Bombyx mori: one gene and its partner. The main gene of each other region encodes a partner of the protein of the gene in region 2 in a complex. Links are inferred from orthologs where the notes say so. Each region holds a gene or a part of one and is shown on either strand. Other genes may lie near its edges. The genes, in order: sin3 histone deacetylase corepressor complex component SDS3 and paired amphipathic helix protein Sin3a.

Region 1 (6,793 bases), on a different chromosome or scaffold from region 2:
ATTCCCACAGGACCTCAATTACTTATAATGTTGAAGCATTTTTTAAATTAGTCCTATCACACAATGGAGTTCAGTTGCATCATATTGCAAACCCAATATTTTGTTTTCATTAGATGGTTATACATTACAATACATATCAAACTGCTTTCTTCTTTGAATTCTATTATTTTTGAGCACCAGAATTCTGAACCTCAAATGTTTCTTTTAAGTATCTTTGATTTTTCTGTGATATTTCATCAGTGCATAAACTATCTTTGTGCAGAAAGACATTTGGGCTCTGTTCCTGTTATGTTTAGATAATAATGGACTAATAGGCAAACATACATACTTATGCTTTTAGCCTCATTCTAAATTCATTTACAGAACATCTTACATGATTAAGGAAGCTTATTTCAAAAGAATTATTATTATTTTACATACTGTTCTTTAACTTCCAGAGGTTCATTGTTGTTCGGTAGTTCTGCCTCGCTTGCCTCTTCTGTATCTGAAAAAGTTTACATTGCAACACTTTTTCTATAATGTAATAACATATTTTTATTTAAAATAGCTTCATTATATTTTGAAACCTAGTGTAATAACAAAGAAAAAAGTATTTTCAAGCAATGTATCATATATAATATCAAAATATTCCTAGTTGTGTTTCACAGAAACAACTCAAGAATAGAAGCATAATTTTATTCAGTATGGTTATACTAGAGAAAAAAAAGTATACTTATTCATCTATTATTTCAAATAATTTTGCTTATTAAGGATTAACTTTTTGCATTAGTGTGGCATTGAATTTGTTTTGTTTTTGTGCTAAACTATATCTATTGCATATTAACAAAACAATCAGCTAGGCATATTTGGGTACCGTAAAATGGGGCGATTAGGGACAAATTCCAACTTTATGAGCAATTTTAAGGTAGTTGTTGATGTATATAATGCTATATCAGGATCAAAATGATTGAGTCTTGGGGGCATCTTTGTTGTCTAATTTAAAATTATGCAAGTAGTATTCCAGTTTAAGCAAAAAATGCAAAAATAGGTGTAATCCCTATTTACCCGAAAATTGCGGTTAATTGGGACGAAATGAGAAATTTGCTAGGGTTGGCACTACTTTTATTTTTATATATAGTTTTAATTAATTTATTTATTTAGTTGCATCAACAAAGTGATCATCAATAAAAAAAATTGAAAAACTGACAAAAGTACATGGCAGACATCACCTCAATTATAGGTGCAATCGACAGTGCAGTAACAACAAAATATATATATATTAAATATATATTTATACATATATAGTGGGCTTTCTTAGAAACGGTTTATATTTCTCCGTTCTTGGTAAGTACTTAGGGGCTGATATTTCTATCTGGGTTAAGAGATTAGGTGTGTCGGTTATTCCATGGATTAATCAGATGAATACCCCCACTCTGAACAAATATTAAATATTTTATTATGTATTACTTAGACATTTTTGTCCACCTTGAGATTTCATTGATCTTGTTACATGTCTCTTCAAAATCGACTTAGTTATATTAAATTGCTTATCTATTTCAACTAAAGACTTATTCCCAATTTCGCTTTGATAAACCAGATTTTTACCAACAAATTTAAAAAATATTGTTATAACTACATAGACAACCCTACAAACCTGTACCTATTTATACTTAGCTCGTTTCCATTTCACGTATTCTCATCCCAATTGACCCCTTTTTCGTTGTTATTTGTACCTAAGACGTCCCCAATATCCCCAAAAACAACAAATTTTTACATGTATTTTTATTTAATCAAATACATTAAAACCAATAACAACTGAGACTTACCTTTAATATATATGCTGGTTCAAACACTAAATAACATTTATAAATCATAGTAGTCTTCTATTATTAGCAAATAAATAAAAGAGAGCAAAGTTTCTAGCACTAAAATAATTACCACCACAGGAAGTTAATTTGAAACGCGATTTTTTATAAGTTAGCAGCTATTATCATGCATATTCAGAGTTGTTTTGTGAACTTTCAACATTCTACTGTTAAACTACAAAAAAATGGAAGATTTTTCAACGAATATAAAACTTATATTGAGCGTCGAAAGATTTTCCCAGTTTTTTCCCGATTCGCCTTTCAATCCCTAATCGCCCCATTTTACCGGTACATGTAAAGTTAGTAAAATTGTGTACATTTTTTTTATTTTTTTTTAAATTTGTACCCACGTAGAAGAATCATCGAAAGGTAACCACCAGTTTATAGGATTACTCTTTATGTGTTACTAAGTGAGAAGTTTTTTTTTTAAATATAATAGGTAATTAAATATAATGTTATAATGTATATTAAATGGTGAAAGTATTTAAATTACGTCATCAAGAAGGCTGTCCGAGAAATAGGCGGGAACATTCACTGAGTCGCAAACATGAAAGCAAATAACCTTGTTTTGATTACGTAACCTCTGTTTACATGTCAAATTTGAAAAGATATTGAGGTTATAGTTATTTTTTGTGGAATAATGTACAAATTAAGCGTTATAGATGCTGGTAAATTAACATCGTAAACAAACCTTCGTCGCTGTCTAACACTGGTGCAGGAGGTGGGACGGTTTCTTCTCGGTCTCTGAAGTCGTCTAAATCGTCGTACCCATCGTCTTCAAAATCGTATTCATCCCCCGGGCCGGAATATGGTGATCCTTGGTAAGACATAGTCGAGGCGACGCGTAACAGTTGCATACAGATTGAATGCAATCACCGCTTCACAAATAAATTTATGCGCTCTTGTAACGTCGAGCTAGACACGGGCACCAAATGGCTGAAGCCAGTTGTGTCACTCATATAAAGAATTCGGCATAAAAACTTCTTAAAAGAAACGAAACTGGAACAAGTTCTGATTAAAGCAGAAAGATGTTTTACTTTTACGTCAAAGTGGACTAAAACTAAAAAGTAATTTAACCGACTTATTTGTATAACATTTAGTCATTTCAAAAAGTCAATTTTGTTAGATAGTCATATACAATTGTTACTTAGTGTAAGTGAAAGGTCCGATTTTTTTTTGATCATTCGTGTCTTTGTAATTTAGATTCTTTATATGGGGTTCCATAAACAATTATGCTAAAATTACACAATTTCAACCAAAGACAATGCTCTACTCGATTTGTTCAATGAGAAAGCAAAGGAAATATCGTCTATTTCATAAAAAATTAAATAGAACGAATTGTGAAAATGCAAATTCAACTGCTGATTTATTATCACTCGCTACCAATGACCACCGATTCATCAAATTGCGATAGATAGGCTCAATTATAACCATGTCAACGATTTCTCCAGTGTGGGCTTGGCCAGTCACTTTCAAACAGCTTCTGTGGGACGTTTTTCTTCGTTGTTTCTTGTCGTGATATTTCAATAAGAAGAGCGTTCTGCAATTCTATCTTCTCCCCGCAAAATTTTGGCTGTACATTAAAATGGCTGCCGTGCAGATCACATTGGCTGCAATTTCCTACATCGCTCAATTCGTGGCGGGTTGTAGGAGATAGATTAGGTAAATGGTTTAATTAAATGTCACCCCGATAACTGCTTTGCGGCAAAAATAGATAAAGTGTATTAGTACTTACCAGAGCGGGCTTACAATGCGTCCTAGTATCAATAATCACCCATATTACGTGTGTTAATTATTCGATAAGGAAGCCAGTTCACCCATGGCTACGTGCAGTACGTTTTCCATTGGAAAAATTTGAATCTGCCTACAGGATTTTAACATCCGTACGGATGTTTCAATCGATTAAAATATGCCGGGCGTTTTATCCTTTATATCATGTCTACAAATCATTCTACGCTTATTTTGGTATTTATTTCAAGAAATAAGAAATAAATATGATTTAGTTAAAATGGTTGATATCTGCCAATAAGATAATACTGAGTACATACCTTTGATAATTTTTAATTTTGACAAAATATCTTCATTATTCAATTGGCAATTTATATTTTTTTTATCAAAGGATGTTGTCAAGTTACGTTAAAATGCTTTTCATTAAATTTATTAGATCCTGTAAACTTTTGGAGCCTTGGTATATTGTTCGTGCATTCTTTTACAATATCAGTATTGAAGAGGGAAGCAGCTACTTAACGGACGGTGGCATGACATTTAAAACTTAACCAAGTACCTACCTACCTGGGCAGAAATCGAAAAAAATGTATGAGATTGTCTATTGTTGTGATACGACGTCACGGTGGAGGACGTCATCTTGCACAAGAAAATTATTTTATTATTTATTTTGTTACAAAGCACGTAACATTACCCGACTTACCCGTTATCTTGTGTTTTTTTTTATTTTAAACCATTTCTTAAATTTTGTTGTGAATTTAAATTTCAATAACTAGTTTGTCATGTTGAAAGTGTTTGAAGGTGACGCTTCACGCTATTGTGCGGTGATGTAATTTAAACGATTAGGTGGCTTCGCAGTCATAGGCAGTGCAATGGAGGAATCCTCTTTCACGATCCCAGCCGATGACAACGGCGATACTGAGCTCGACCCTAGGATCCAGGTCAGTGCGTGACAATATAATGTTCTGAGTTGTAACGGTAGCATCTCGCAACTGCAAACATGAGTGTTAACTTTGTAGATTATTTCGCCAACGAGCATAATGGATATGATATATTATATCAAAACATGAAATACGGACTTATAGCAAGTAAAGAGCTCTCCGAATATCTAAGGGAAAGGTCCAATATTGAGGAGACTAATTCAAAATCATTAGCTAAACTAGCAAAACAAGCGAACGGTAACTGCGCACAGGGTACATTCGCGCCCTTCTGGAGCGTTCTCAAATGCTCAGCTGAGAAACTATCTAATTTACATCAGCACATGTTCCAGAAGGTGGGTGAATTGGTCAAAGATGTGGCGAGATATGCTGATGAATTACATAAAAAACATAAGGCTGTCAAAGACTCTGAATCTAGTACTTTAGAAGTAGTATTACTGATACAAAATACTAAACAGGCACTTCAGAAAGCAAAAGATGTCTATACTACAAAATCTGCTGAATTTGAAAAACTCCGAAAGGATAATGCATCTGCTAAAGACCTCGAAAAGGCTGAGGTTAAATTGAAGAAATTACATGAAGACTATTGGCAGCTTGCTGAAAAGTATAATCTTGTAAAACAAGATTTTGAAAAGAAAATGTCTCAAACATGTAAGCACTTTCAAGATGTGGAGGAGGCACACTTAAAACAAATGAAACAGTTTGTTAATGTTTATGCTGATATAATTCAAAACAATCACGATATGATGGGACAGGTGCATCGGGACTTTAAGCACCAGTGTCTAGAGTTGACTGTTGAAAAACTATTAGAACAGTTCTTGATAGAAAAATATACTTCCATAGAAAAAGCAGTTCTCGTTGAGCTGCCCCCAACTTTACCAAAACCCGGTTCAGCTAACAACTCTATATCAGAAGCCGATCAGATATCTACAGTCTCTAATGGCTCTCACAAACCTACGCAGCCAGGAAAAGCTCCCAAAAAAGAGCCATCTTTTGCTACTAAAACATCAAGGAGGACTACTTCACTCCTTAATTTATTCACTCCCAATTTCCAAAGCAAAGATGAACCCACTATCAACATTGAAGGTGCTGCACCATGCTCTGCCCCTTCCAGCCCAAGTGGAACTCCAGCTATTCCGGTAGCTCCAGATAAAGAGGACAACATGGGTCGAACCACCTTGCGGGAGTCCAAATGGTTCTTACGTAGCAAAAGAACTAAGCCAAAACAAAAAAAATCTAAAAAGAAAAAGGATGATAACTCTATGAACTCAACAGCTGACAAGTCTGATTTTGAGGAAAAACAAGAGGAAACACCAATTAAGGAGGATCTGATAAATTCACCTGAAGTAGATGAGGAGGGTTTTTGTATAAGACCAAAAGAAGAGAAAGGCAGTGTATACTCTTCTAGTGATTCTGACTCTGAAGAGGAAAGGGAGCAGAAAATTCATGTTGAGATTAAACCTATAACCAATGGTAGTGCTCCAATGTCTGCTAGTGTAGATGAGCTCAGAGCTACCGTAGAAAATATCTCCTTGTACAAAATTGGCACAACACGTCGGGGTTCTAATGTGAATACAAGCAAAGCAAGCAATGACCTAGTTGGCCTGGACTTCTTCCCGAGCCCAACTGTCAGTAATCCCACATCACCTCAAGCTAATGTGTCTAATCCTTATGCACCTTTACAAGGAAATCAGTCACATGTGTTTGAGAGTCCCACACCCATTTCTAATACTGAAGTTGGTGATTTATTCTCAGAAGTAGGTGAAATGAGTCAATCCAATATTCGAACATCCACCCCAACAATATCTACTATTTCTCTCCCACGTCCACCATCAAGAAGGTCTGATGGAGAATTTCGAACTGCAGGTTCTACAGGCTCCCGTGGTCCTTCCCCACTTACAATCGGCATGGCGGATACTATACCGTTGGCAGTTGCGTTCCATGAAATAATTCATTCATATTTCCGTGGTACAGAAGAATCAAAATGTCAAGTAAAGATGTCTGGAGACATGATGCTTTCTTTCCCCACTGGTATTGTTGGTGTGCTTGCTAACAATCCAAACCCTGCAAAACTTTGTTTTAGACTAAAAAACATACATAGATTAGAAACAGTACTTCCAAATAAACAGTTGGTTACCATCAATCAATCAACATCTACACGTGATACCACTGTTGTAGATTTCAATATGCCTGCTTTGACCTCATTATTGAAGCGACAGTCAGAAAAAAATCCCACCGCACAGTACTTCAATGTAGATATATTAAAATATCAGATAAGACCAAAAA
Region 2 (6,107 bases):
GCCTAGACCTCGAGGACAGCTGCTTCGCGAATAAATCTATTACCGGATCGGAATCGCGACTCGCTGGGAAGATCCGGCGAGAAACTCAGCGAGCTAAGTATGTAAGTAAGTATCTTAAGCTACTATGGTGTACAAAACACGCCATAGCTCGCGTTCTCTAAATGAAACCCTAAAGCATAATAGAACTGATTAAGATCGGCGGATTAGTAAGCTTAAGTGGCAGTGGCTGGCTGTATTAGCCAGAGAACCGACAACAGTTGGGGTAAATGTGTTCCTGAGTAGAAACTGCGTTAAAAAACAGTCATTTCTTCAGTGAGCACTACAGAGTAGAAGAGAGTTGGGAGAGAAGGCTGATGTTTAGGTTAGGTTGCACGGTTACTGTGGTCCCTCAGTCGGCTCCTAGTGTTAGAGCTGAAGGCGTCTAATGAAAGGGTTATTTGATCTAAAGGATCCATAAGCTCGTGATAAATTAGTTAGTTATTATTGAGGGGCACATGTAACAGTCGCCAGGGTTGTCTTGGTACTGACCGCTCGCACGAGGAAGGCGGCGTGGTGCGGGCGCAGCGCGGCGAGGGCGCGGCGCACGTAGGGCCCGGCCGCGGCCCGCATGTCGCGCGCGCACAGCTCGGCCGCGCGCACCGACCACGGCTCCGACGCGCAGTGCTGCAGCTGTACACGACAATACAAGCTATACTACACACATTCTGCACGTAGTCTTAACCCACCGAGTATAGTATTAGTATAAGTTCTAAGGTCTCAAGTATAGTTACGACGGCTGCCCCACCCTTCAAACCGAAACGCATTACTGCTTCACGGCAGAAATAGGCAGGGCGGTGGTACCTACCCGCGCAGACTCACAAGAGGTCCTACCACCAGTATATGTATAATTTTACAAAATGACCGGTGATCGTTCTCGTCGAAGGGCTCGACGAATAAATTAACCCACAGACACAGCCCACTGAGTTTCTCGCCGGATCTTCTCAGTGGGTCGCGTTTCCGATCCGGTGGTAGATTCTACGAAGCACGGCTCTTGCTAAGGTTCATGTTAGCAACGTCATCAAGTTTGAGCATAAACATATTCTTTACTCATCATAAAGGTGGTAAGTTTGTTAATCTTGACAACAATAAGAAACATCAGTAGGAAGGCAGCATGCTGTATCAACACAGAATATTCTGTTTAAGGCACATCGCATGTGTTTTCATCATTTATCTCTTATCGTTACCAAATGATCCAATACTAAGAGTAATTCAAACAAGATGTTTGATGTGCTGATGAGTATTTCCTCAGGTCTGATATAGCAATACATAGATACTAACCTGCCTGACAGCGATAGACACCAGTTTGTCCAGCGTGTAGGCCGGATAGGCTTTGATCCCGAGCATTTCTCGGGCTGCATCCTCGAAGGCGGAAGATTCCATGTTGCCGTCGAGGACGCCCTTCACCAGGTCCAGCAACAAGTTGTAGTATTCTGTTGGCGACGACACGTCCGCTGGCAAATCTGTGGAAGACATTCATAATTTTCAAATATTTTTTTTTTCAATTTATTCAATAATTGTATTGCTAATGGTGTGTAGTGTATTGAGATTTCGATCTGATGCGTTAATGGTCGACGAAATTCTGGCTCATCTCTAATTATGACGTGACAGAGTAATACAATGTAAAAGCATAATGTTTTTCGAATATGTGGTTCTGGCAAATAGTAGCACTTCACGTAAAATTTACATTGGCGCACTTAATACCTGTGGTATTCTCTACCAGTCACCCAAAGATAGTGCAGAGTGCACAATAAATAAAGGTAGGTGCATTGAAATTTACATTTATATATTATACACATATACATTATATTATATTTAAGTTATCCATTTTTGAAAAGTTTTAATAATCGTAAATTAAATGCAATGGTAATTGCAGTCATGCTTGAAGGTAGACGGCGCTATACGTATTGTCTATGGCATTCTGTTATTGTTAAATAGCAGACAACTAGAGAACTTGTCTGTGCCTTTAGAAATTCTTCTCAGTCTTACACTCCTGGCAGAGTGGTCGTGGTTACGTATGTCTTAATGTTTGGTTGCGGCTTTTGAGAGACTTCTCCATCTTTCTCTATTTGTGGCGGTACGTGTACACTCAGTAAGGGAACACTTCGTAGATAACTTAACCAAGTCTGTCCACCTTGTGGATGATCCTTTAGAAATAAATAATTCAAATTAATATAAAGCCTATAACATTCAGCAGTCAACGTGTGTGAGTGTACTAACGGTGTGCGGGCGCGAGGCGCAGGGCGAGCGCGGGAGGGCGGTCGTGCCGCGGGCGGGCGGGCGGCGCGGCGCACATGGCCCGGCGCGCGGCCGCCAGCCGCTGGCACAGCGCGCCGTGCACGCGCAGGAACAGGTACCACGAGGACGTGCACACGAACCTGCCCTCCTGTATACAACACGCATACATTTACAAAATTAATAAGTCGTGTGTCTTTGTCGGTGAATAAACTGTTAAAATGTTGGCACTGATGTTCTTCTTGAGAGTCCGCGCGGGTAGGTACCACCCCCCTGCCTATTTCTGCCGTGAAGCAGTAATGCGTTTCGGTTTGAAGGGTGGTGACTATACTGAGACCTTAGAACTTATATCTCAGGGTGGGTGACGCATTTACTTTGTAAATGTCTATGGGCTCCAGTAACCATTTAACACCAGGTGAGCTGTGAGCTCGTCCACCCATTTAAGCAATAAAAATAAAAATAAAACATGTGCAGAAGCACCCGTTAGGTCGCCATGCTCCTAAAGACCGCTCCAGGCAATGCGCTTCCAGGTCTGGCGATTCGAAGCGTTTCCAATACATTCGATGATTGATATACATGCTGATATTACAGGTTGAGATATACCCACATATGCATTGTTATATAGAACAATATATTGTTCACTTGTGTTGTTTGCACGTTCATACCTTACAATACATTTTACGCATATCTCGAATTACAGCAAGGTCATTGATCTGTTTCTAGTGAAGTACCCCATATCAGTGTACAATACATACATTGTATTTACTATTTAATTTTAATGGTTCTGGTAGGCAGAGACTTGGCATTGCTCGTCAGATGGATAGGATCCTACCCCTGCTTCTAAATTCTAAAAAAAAAACGAGAACTCACATTAGGGGGGTGATCCCTGAGATCATCTTCTACTTCGAATGGTTCAGTCTTTAAGTCAGATTTCAGTATTTGATCATCATTGCTTAACCTCTTTCCATTAGTCGGCTGGGTTAGTACACTTTCTGTAAACAAAACACATTCAGAGATTAGCCACAATAAAAAGACAACCATTTATCTTCTTATAGCTTTTTCATATCCATTAATGCTGCTATGTTGAAATTAGAAACAACCAATCCGATATAATGTTTTTTTTCATACATGACATTACATTATGACTGTCGGTATTTGAACCGTTGTACCATGGTTCACTTGCGGACCAAATAATAGTAATAATAATAATGGTTGGTTCGAAGTAAGTATCAGTTGAATGGAATATTTGAAATGTATTCAACGGATAATTACTTTTAATAAATGTATCTTTTTTATTTGATTGGTTTTGTTAATTTTGAGTATGTTTCAATGATACAAGGGCGGGATGATAAGTAACTAGCCTAATAATGAAACACTTAACTTTCCATGATAAAATTAATTTTATTTTTCGACATAGTCTCCGTGAACCTCTACGCACTTATTCCATCTTCGTTCTAAAGCAGTAATGCCTACCATAAAATAATTTCTTTCGAGGCCTGTAAAATACTCCTCTACAGCGGCTATGACTTCATCATTTGTGGCAAATTTCTGTCCGCCCAAATTTTTTGCCATAGCTTTAACACATGTGTGACCCTAGGGTGGAAAATGTTTTTTTTTCCGCCAAATCTGGCCGTTTTTACTGAATACATTGATGAAGATTATCTAGAAGATTAGTGTAGTATTCTCTGTTAATTGTTTGACCTTTAGGAAGGTAATCTATCATCAAGATCCCAACTGCATCCCAAAAGACGGAAGCCATGACTTATCCAGCCGACTTTACAGCCATGGCCTTTTTTGGAGCCGACCATTCCGATTGCGTCCACTGTTTTGATTGAATTTTTGATTCTGGCGTGTAATAATGAACCCATGTTTCATCTGCTATTACAAATCGACGTAAAAAATCGGCTTTATTACTCTGAAACGGTCCAAACATTCTTTTGAGTTTTGCACTCGAATCCTACTTTGATCGTGCGTAAGCAATCGCGGCAACCAATGGGCCGATGACTTTTTCATATTTAATTCCTCACTTAGGAAATGATGTACCCGGTCTTTTGAGATACCTGTAGTGTCAGCTATTTCAGATAACTTCAATCGTCGATCTGTTAAAACCATATCATGTACTTTCACGACCGTTTCCGGTGTCGTGACGCTTTTTGGACGTGCGGGGTGGGCTTCATCTTGGACACATGTACGACCGCGTTTAAACTAATCCACCCAGTTTTTTACTGTGGCATAAGAAGGAGCACATTTACCCAAAACATTCTTTAACTCGTCATAGATATCTTTCCCCTTCATGCTCTACATATGAAGAAACTTTATCACCGATCTTTGTTCAAATTTATCCATTTTGAAAACACTTGACGAAATATATTTTCAAATGACAAAAAATCAATAAAATGTTTACGCCACCAAATTGAAATTTAGAACACAGGTGGCCAGAGACGAATTTACAAATGACATATTTAATTTTTGAATTTTAACTTTTTGAATAGCAGAGGCTAGTTACTTATCATCCCGCCCTCGTACTATGTACACATATGGACTTATTGTTGTCTGAAATAAAATAATCATTCATTCATTCATTTATTACCATGTAATATGTAAAACTCACCTTTATTGCTCTCCAAATTATTATTATTTTTGGGTTTATTCTCTTTGTTATTCTTTCCGTTCTTGCCGCTCTTGTCTGACGCGTTATCAGATTCAGATGACTGAAAACAATAAATTAATTATATTTCTGTTTGTGCTATATTTTACCAAATATTAGTGTGGTCAAAACATCAGTAGGAAGGCAGCATGCTGTATCAACATTCAATATTCTGTTAAAGGCACATCGCATGTTCTATCATCATTTCATCTATCTAATATATAAAATTCTCGTGTCACAGTTTTCGTTGCCATACTCCTCCGAAACGGCTTGACCGATTTTGATGAAATTTTTTGTGCTTATCCGGTATCAATGAGAATCGGCCAACATCTATTTTTCATCCCCCTAAATGTTAGGGGTAGTCCACCCCTAAATTTTTTAATTTATTTTTTAGACAAAATTTTTAATTTCTATTTTTTTATGATACAACATACAAAAATACATACAATCCTCAATTTTCACCCCTCTACGATCAACCCTTATTTTTTATTTGCTAATAAAAAACTTTAAAAATTTTTGCGAGAATTTTGTTTGTATTTTGTCATGACTTAAAATAAAAAAAAAATATATTACTCTCAATTTTCACTCTTATACGATCAACCCCTATTTTTCCATCCCGATCAATATTTTTTTTATTCTATGCACAGATCCGCAATAAGGTTGCAAGATGGCAATCAAATATTATAATTGTAGTACGATAAACTCTTATTCAGAGTTTATAATTTCAAGTTCCTTTAATTATCATTTTTTTTAAATTGAATTTGATCTCCCGCCCTCGCCGGTCGACTACTGATCAACTATCAATCGATCAGCTATCCCCGCCAGGTGTCACCACTCATCCAGCAAACATCACGTAGTAGGGATGAGGACGAAGCCGGTCTCCTGTCTTACTTACTCACTATACATCATAGATTATACACTTAATATATTTGAGAGCTATACAATACTATACATTTTTCAGCCATGTTTTTTTGGTTTTATTTGTGTATCAATAGTATGTTCAGTAGGTCTGAGAGTCGGCTACTATCTATTTTTCATACCCCTAAGTGAAAAGGGTTGTCGGCCCCAAACATTTATTTTTTATTTTTATATTTTGGATATTTTTTTTTGTTTACAATGAAGTATTATGTGGTTAAATGAGGTTTTTTTTTCTACAGTAGAATTTCCCTAGAAATCTTATTTAAGGCAA

The links.
Region 1: the proteins of paired amphipathic helix protein Sin3a (region 2) and sin3 histone deacetylase corepressor complex component SDS3 are in contact, whole or in part, in an NMR structure (PDB 2N2H), measured with the Mus musculus proteins. The link is inferred for Bombyx mori from reciprocal best matches to the Homo sapiens genes SIN3A and SUDS3. Residues at the interface, in NP_001103821.1 of Mus musculus: Glu616, Glu619, Leu620, Val623, Arg672, Ile673, Tyr674, Ala675, Lys677, Asp680, Ile681, Ile691, Ala692, Ile695, Val696, Arg699, Met702, Lys703, Glu706, Trp707, Glu709, Ala710, Phe714; in NP_848737.3 of Mus musculus: Ala205, Leu207, Asn208, Tyr209, Leu210, Leu211, Gln215, Ile216, Glu218, Asp219, Leu220, Thr222, Leu223, Leu226.

Annotation. Positions count from the first base shown.
Region 1 is NC_085116.1:2,412,741-2,419,533, reverse strand, and holds the start of sin3 histone deacetylase corepressor complex component SDS3, read right to left. Parts: upstream 3,884-6,793; 5' UTR 2,702-3,883; coding exon 2,536-2,701; intron 485-2,535; coding exon 421-484; intron 1-420. Other genes in the region: F-BAR domain only protein 2, read left to right, coding at 4,570-6,793; SH3 domain-binding protein 5 homolog, read left to right, coding at 4,442-4,510.
Region 2 is NC_085108.1:1,029,079-1,035,185, reverse strand, and holds part of paired amphipathic helix protein Sin3a, read right to left. Parts: intron 4,983-6,107; coding exon 4,883-4,982; intron 3,264-4,882; coding exon 3,142-3,263; intron 2,423-3,141; coding exon 2,257-2,422; intron 1,500-2,256; coding exon 1,318-1,499; intron 670-1,317; coding exon 529-669; intron 1-528. UniProt on the Homo sapiens protein: Acts as a transcriptional repressor. Corepressor for REST. Interacts with MXI1 to repress MYC responsive genes and antagonize MYC oncogenic activities. Also interacts with MXD1-MAX heterodimers to repress transcription by tethering SIN3A to DNA.